Cricetulus griseus: one gene and its partner. The protein of the gene in region 1 purifies or fractionates together with the protein of each later gene. This does not show direct contact. Links are inferred from orthologs where the notes say so. Each region holds a gene or a part of one and is shown on either strand. Other genes may lie near its edges.

Evidence for each region. Proteins that work in one complex are often made in the same cells at the same time.
Region 2: the proteins of Arrdc3 (region 1) and Adrb2 purify together in Homo sapiens (affinity purification with western blotting; 6 studies listed by BioGRID and IntAct, with this or other methods). This does not show direct contact. The link is inferred for Cricetulus griseus from reciprocal best matches to the Homo sapiens genes ARRDC3 and ADRB2.

The regions. Positions count from the first base shown.
Region 1 is NC_048595.1:301,360,728-301,364,958, forward strand, and holds part of Arrdc3 (arrestin domain-containing protein 3), read left to right. Parts: intron 1-810; coding exon 811-913; intron 914-1,248; coding exon 1,249-1,505; intron 1,506-1,759; coding exon 1,760-1,922; intron 1,923-2,155; coding exon of another isoform or gene 2,156-2,193; coding exon 2,194-2,348; intron 2,349-4,096; coding exon 4,097-4,153; 3' UTR 4,154-4,231. UniProt on the Homo sapiens protein: Adapter protein that plays a role in regulating cell-surface expression of adrenergic receptors and probably also other G protein-coupled receptors.
Region 2 is NC_048595.1:176,928,299-176,931,778, reverse strand, and holds Adrb2 (beta-2 adrenergic receptor), read right to left. Parts: upstream 2,300-3,480; coding exon 1,043-2,299; downstream 1-1,042. UniProt on the Homo sapiens protein: Beta-adrenergic receptors mediate the catecholamine-induced activation of adenylate cyclase through the action of G proteins. The beta-2-adrenergic receptor binds epinephrine with an approximately 30-fold greater affinity than it does norepinephrine.

The sequences.
Region 1 (4,231 bases):
TCCATAGCTTTAATAACGCAATTCTATTGAATTCCATTAAAAATACCTATTTTAAAATAAGGTAGAACTAGAGCACACAATCGAATGAATAATATGCTCCTATTTTTCACACAGTGCTAGCTAGGTACATTTAAAAGTTACACTTCACACATATGTGATATGAAGTGTCTTTTTTGCAGAACACAGCAATAACAAGGTCCAGTCCCTAAATGACTTTAGTTGACAAACAATATTAATCATTTAGGATGTTGGCTTAAATTTCTTACTTGAACCGGTCACAATCTAAACTTTGTACCACATTGCTTTATACTAGTTAGAGCTAGGTGTCACATGATGGGGATTCATCATTGTCATGGGGAAAAAATTAATTTCTTTTTAATTGCATTTTATTATACTAATTCAAATTTGGCTTCAAAAATGATTTGGTTTAAACAAATGATAACATCTTTAAATTGAATAAAAATGTGTTTTACATTTTATCAAACAACCTTTTTTTTTCTTTTTTCAAAATAAGATGTTGCCATTTTGAATTACAACCAAGTTTAAGACAATTTATGTGGAATTTGGAAAGGGTTTTTTTTTTAAATTAGTTTTCATTATTGTACACAATGGACTAAAAGTCTGCTTTGGAATAGGGTGTTAGGCCTTTAACCTATTTTATTGAATAGAAGTTTATATAAAGACAGAAGTTTGATATTTTTAAAAACTATCTGTTACAGGAACAAAATTGATTCTCTTAGTTACTTTTATAACAAACAATTCTGGCATTTTTATTAGTTCATACATTGATGTTTTTTCTCTTTCTTACAGTCACCCCAAGCAGGCACAAAAGACAAGACACTCTGTTGCTGGTTCTGCGCCTCAGGCCCAATATCCTTAAGTGCCAAAATCGAGAGGAAGGGCTACACCCCAGGTATGGATGCGGTTGGTGCCTACAAAAAGCAGTTTTCTTTATTAAGCATCTTGTATAAACTTGGCATTGTTACCGAATATAAACCCTCAGCATTCCTTACTTCGTAAAGCTGTGTAGGTTGTACAGATGGATCCCTTTTCTTTTCACAAATTATAGTCTCCTTTTTTGTGTAGTCAGGGTGAGTGAGCAGGTCATCTTTATAACAGTGAGTTATCCTTGCTCACTTCCAGGATAGCTTTTCCTCCATGGAGTTAGTTGAGCTTCAGAAGTCTACACCAGATACCAGTGTGTGCCTTTTTGTTTTCTAATAGTGAGTAACTGTTTTCCCTCTACAGGTGAATCAATACAGATATTTGCTGAGATTGAGAACTGCTCTTCCCGAATGGTAGTGCCAAAGGCAGCCATTTACCAAACACAGGCCTTCTATGCCAAAGGGAAAATGAAGGAAGTAAAACAGCTTGTGGCAAACTTACGTGGGGAGTCACTATCATCTGGGAAGACAGAGACATGGAATGGCAAGCTACTAAAAATTCCACCAGTTTCCCCCTCCATCCTTGACTGTAGTATAATCCGTGTGGAGTATTCACTAATGGTAGGTGTTCCTGTAAGAAGTTCTTATCACTTTTTCTTGAATCTGTGGGGTCCTTATTTTGACTTATTGATGCTTGGTAGACTGTAGATGTGTGTACAAAACATTGCATTATTACCTCACATAAACTAGGGCATTGCATATAAAAGAGAAGTTCTCTAGAAACTAAACGGGATCCCAGCTAATATCAAAATTAGGTTGTGTTTTTAAAAAAAATTCTGCTTAAATGCTGACTTCAACATCTGCTTACTGTTTAGGTATATGTGGATATTCCTGGAGCTATGGATTTGTTTCTTAATTTGCCACTTGTCATCGGTACCATTCCTCTTCATCCATTCGGTAGCAGAACCTCAAGTGTGAGCAGTCAGTGTAGCATGAACATGAACTGGCTCGGCCTATCCCTTCCTGAAAGACCTGAAGGTAATTTGATAATACATGTCTAAACTTACTCTATTATTAGTAGTAAGACTTTTTTCTTTTGTTTTTAATATTTTACAACCCTAGTTAAATTTTTATCTTTCTTCAGTTAGCATATGTAACCTTAATATTGTTTTGTTGTTTGTCCTGCTTGTTTTAATCACCAAACAAATAATTATTCTTTTACATGACATTTTTTTAATATCTACTATTCTGTGTATTTTGACATGCATAAGAACATGTTGTTCGAATTGCGTGTATCTTTTTCCTTCAGCACCACCCAGCTATGCAGAAGTAGTAACTGAGGAACAAAGACGAAATAATCTCGCCCCAGGGAATGCTTGCGATGGTTTTGAAAGAGCTCTTCAGGGACCACTGTTTGCATATATCCAGGAGTTTCGGTTCTTGCCTCCACCTCTTTATTCAGAGGTAAGTACCAAGTCAAGGATGAAATGTGCTGGGTCTCCTAGGAAACAGCAGTGCAAGCTTTTAAAAAAGATACAGGCTTTTAAAAGGTAGTCGTTTCTTAGTTAAGCTGATGATAAACATTTAGAACACCAGTTTAAAAGTTAGAATTGTCAGATCTTCTGACTTCATTCAGGAAATAAGGTGATGGCCAAACTTCGGTTGAATCATTAGCATTTTTTAATAAATGAGTTTATTTTAAAGTATCAGTAGAAAACTGGTATTTTGTAAGCATAATTAAATAGCTAGAATTTATATTGATCATAATCCTTTTCCAATCTAATTCTTTCATTTTTAACATTCTTAGTTATAGGAGAAAATAGCATATTTCCAAATAGCTTTTTAAGCCGGCGGTGGTGCACGCCTTTAATCTCAGCACTTGGGAGGCAGAGGCAGCAGGAGTATCTCTTGTTAGTTCGAAGCCAGCCTGGTTTACAGAGCAAGTTCCAGGACAGACAGGGCTACACAGAGAAACCCTGTCTCAAAAAAACCCAACAACAACAAAAAGAAAAAACAGACAGACCAAATAACTTCTTAAACAGCATTGTACACTCCTAGATTATTCTGCACTTTATATTAATGACACCAACACACATGTGAATAAGATGAGTACTTGCATTGGAAAAACTCACAGACTAGTGAGAAAAATTAACTTAGAAGGGAAAACCAGCCAGCGTCAACCTTGTTAGGAAACACCACTCATCTGATGAATCAATTATTGGGTCTTAGAAATCAGAAGGGCTTCTCTGAGAAGCTGAATTTTCAACAATAAGTAGCCCCTATACCTACAGTATAGGTTGGAAGAGCAGCCCAGCTGAAAGACAAGAAGGGGCTGTTTCTCTGTTGTACCTACACAGAGAAACCCGCCCTAGATGTAATTATGTAGAATCATCTTCATTAATTGTAGAGTACTCAGAATCTTTTCTTGCAAATTTTTGATTAGACATTTTTCCTGTCTTAGGATGGTTCATAAAAACACATGACTGAAAACCATTTTCCACAAATTTTATTACTTTTTTTTTTATTCTGACATTTCTTACTGTGTTCTGGCTTAATTTGAATGTTCATAGCTTTCAAGGGGGCATTTGAAAAGAATGATAATTAGAATTCACTTTAATTTGTCCTAAATTCTACACATTTCAAGATGAATATAATATAATTTCAACATTGTACAACCCTAAACTCTGGAATATGATTTAAATAAAAGGTAATTGGCTTTTTTCTTCAAAATGCATTTGGCATAAAAACTTCTGAGGTGATGTGGGTTATCTCATACTTAAAGTGAGCAGGACTTGTCCAGACAGATCTTTGAGTTAACCTTCACAGGACCCTTAGAAATGTTGTTCACAGAACCTAGGGAAGTGATGCAGTGACATTTTAGGACAAGAACAAAAGATACTTTACAAAGGAGTTGAGTGGTTTGATGGTGTACCCTAGTATATAACTGATTTTTAAGAACCCCAATGTTGAGTGAAAATACCCTTCCTAGTAACTTTGGTGAAATTGAACTATTCATGCATAACTATAAATCATATTGGTAACCTAACACCCTTTCATTCAAACATAACATGATCTTCAGATAGAGAGCATTATATTAGGGTGTAATCTGCTAAGCAGTCTTATGTATGCTCTGATAATATTGGTTACCTTTGCAGACTCAAAAGCAGTCATATACCAAATTAACTTTGTACATTTCATCTTGTTTCTACTAGATTGATCCAAACCCTGATCAGTCATCCGAGGACAGACCATCTTGCCCCTCTCGTTGAAGGAACACTTGATTGACTCGAGTTGATATGGGTTTCGAACTGTATCTCTTCCGGCTGAGGACAGAGAAGTATCTTGGA
Region 2 (3,480 bases), about 120 Mb from region 1:
CTGAATACACCAAGCCCTGCTGCAGTACAAAGGGCACTACTGTAAAAGATGCCAGTGATATAAATCCACACAGTTTTTAAACAAGGGCTGGAAGGTAGGTAGCAGGAGCATGTGGGACAGAACGTATGCCCAGAACACACACTCTCTCCTCTCTCTCTCTCTCTCTCTCTCTCTCTCTCTCTCTCTCTCTCTCTCTCTCTGAGTCAGGGTTTCCGAGGTGACAGCACAGAATAGCAACTGTAGGACACACTGGGTTATGCTGAGAGCAGGCAGAACTGATTTGGGGCACAAGTAAAATTAGGAAAGACACAGGTTTGCATTTGGAAATCCAAAGGCACATGGGAGGGCTAGGCAATCAATGCATACCATTCTGGTACCCTTCCACATCAAGACACACAGCAGTTATGACACATAGTTACCTGTGGTTTCCAGTGGGAAAGACAAGGACACTCCAGAGTCAAGAGGTTTTGGAGAAACAGGTGCAATGAAATCATGGTCAAACAATTTATTTACTGTAAACTTTAGACTTTGCTCAGAAAAAAACAGCTGAAGCTGTCCCTCAGATCACTGCCTACAACACTCCATTTGAGCAAATAAGTGGAGCGGGGGAGAGTATATATTCACAGCAGAAAGGTCCAAGACACAGGATTGTCAAGTCCAAGGGTACAGGAAGGAAAACTTCCTTCTGATACAAATTACTAGCAGCAATAATAGTATACCCTAACACTTGACCAATGAGGTAGATGCATGGAAAAATCATCTAAACGTACAGACAGTCCTCTAGGACCAACACGCTTCAGACAGAAACTTTTAAGTTCCGTGCAAAGAGGAACTGAACTGCACAAGAAACAAATAAGCACTCAAATACAGCTTCTCCCCCTCTCTTGTTTTTGCAGCTTAAAAAAATAAAATAAAAAAGGGCAGAAGGATGTTCCCCTTCTGCAAATCTCTATACAATTTTATTCTAAAGTTATTACACTCAAGTTAAATAGTCTGGTTAGTGTCCTGTCAGGGAGGGGTCTTAAAAAGCAGAAAGCCTGCATTACAGTGGTGAGTCATTTGTACTACAGTTCCTCCCTTGGGAATCAAGGCTAAGGCTAGACACAGTACCTTGACAGTTCGCAAAGCTTTCCGTGCCTGGGGTGTCCTCACACAGCAGTTCACTTTCTTTTTCCTGCCCCAACTGACATTCACTTGCCTCCCCCATGTAGTCTGTTTTGCCATTACTGTTGGTGGAGTAGCCATTCCCATAGGCTTTCGCAGAAGACCTGCGGAGGCATAAAAGCTCCTGGAAGGCAATCCTGAAGTCTGGACTCCGACAGTAGATCAGGGGATTGAAAGCAGAATTGACATAGCCCAACCAGTTAAGGAGGATGTAAACTTCCTTAGGGATGAGGTTTTCCTGGATGACATGCACGATGTTGACAATGAAGAAGGGCAGCCAGCAGAGGGTGAATGTGCCCATGATGATGCCTAAAGTCTTGAGGGCTTTGTGCTCCTTCAAGCAGAACTTGGAGGACCTTCGGAGTCCGTGCCCACTCCGCCCATCCTGCTCCACCTGGCTGAGGTTTTGGGAATGGAATCTTCCCTCAGATTTGTCTATCTTCTGGAGTTGCCTTTTGGCCACCTGGAAGACCCTGGAATAGACAAAGACCATGACCACTAGAGGCACGTAGAAAGACACAATGGAGGAAGCAATGGCATAGGCCTGGTTCGTGAAGAAGTCACAGCAAGTCTCCTTGAGATAGCAGGTGATGGCTTTCTTGTGGGTGGCACGGTACCAGTGCATCTGGATGGGCAAGAAGGAGGTAAGGCCGGATACAATCCACACCATTAGGATGACCATTCGGGCCTTATTCTTGGTCAGCAGGCTCTGGTACTTGAATGGCGATGTGATAGCAATGTAGCGATCCACTGCTATCACACACAGGGTCTCAATGCTGGCTGTGACGCATAACACATCAATGGAAGTCCAGAACTCACACCAGAAGTTGCCAAAATTCCACATTTTCATAAGGATGTGACTGGCCCCAAACGGCACCACCGCTAGGCCCATGACTAGATCAGCACACGCCAAGGAGGTTATGAAGTAGTTGGTGACGGTCTGTAGTCTCTCGAACTTGGCAATGGCTGTGATGACCAGCACGTTGCCAAACACGATGGCCAGGACGATAACCGACATGAGGATGGCCATGCCTACCACCCACGCTTCGTCCCGTTCCTGAGTGATGTCGTGGTCCGGCGTATGGCTTCCGTTGGGTGTCAGCAAGAAGTCACTGTCGTTCCCGGGTGGCCCCATCGCTGGCAGACTAGCAGGTGAGTGCACTGGCTTTGGGCGCCCTGGCGCTCTCAGCGGGTGCACCTCCGACGGGGCACAGCCTGCCGGGGACGGACTCCTGGAAGCTTCATTCAGCGGCTGTAGGTGGCTGTGCTGGGGGCGCGTTCTGCACACTCAGCTCGTGGGGTGCTCTGGGTTCGCGGTGCCTGCTAGCTGCAGCCTGAACGCTGGAGAAGCAGTCTCGCAATGCTCCCTGCCCGTTATGTGCACCGGACTTTAGGGGAATTGCTTGGTGACGTGCAACAACTTTGGGCCAATGGTACGGTCGCATGCCCGGAGGGGCGAGGCACCAAGGGCCAACCCTCCCTGCCTAGCCCGCCTCCTCCTGGGGTTGGTCCGGGCGGGGCCCCAGTGCTCCCCGGAGGCCAAGCCACCACTCCCTCCCAGCTACCCTAGTGGGGCCTCAGAGACAGAAATCTGGAGCTGCTGTACGATCCACCAACCAAGCGCAGTCTGGAAGTTCTTCTACCTGTCCGTGCAGGTCACCTCTGCGGGCTGAGGTCTCTGGATGCAGGTGGCACACAGCGCATTTTCCTTTAGGAACAGAGAAGAGAGACTGAACAAGCACACTCGGACACGCATACACAGGCACAAACGCACTCGGCCGACGTGGACATGCTCAGACTTATGCCGCACCACAGCCACAGACACCGAGACACACCCGCGCCCACTCACGCTGGAGACGACAGCTGTCTCCTGGTCCAATGCAGAAAGGTGGCTAAAAACAAACACAGGAATACCTAGAAACATGCAGAAAGAAATGTACACAAGAGCTCATGTGGAGATGTGGTGTGCGGACCATTCAGACACCCATGTCCACATCCAGGTAGCATCCTCCTGAAGCACTTATAAATGACACCCTCTTTTCCCATTCCCAGACTCTCAGTATATTCCCTTACAGTTATTTGGCAAGAGCACAGGAGGTGACTTCAATAGCTACAGTTTCTCTGCACACTTTTTGAAAAATATGTTTTGGCATCCTCCCCCCTTGAGACCTTGCAGGCATCGAGGCAGTAATTTACCCTTTGTCTTTCATTAGGAGTTCAAGTATTTACACATTTAGGGGAGAGTTAGGTGGTTTTATTTTATTTTTAATTCTTGGGAGTGTGGCATCATTTTCTTGTTATATGAGGATGCATTGA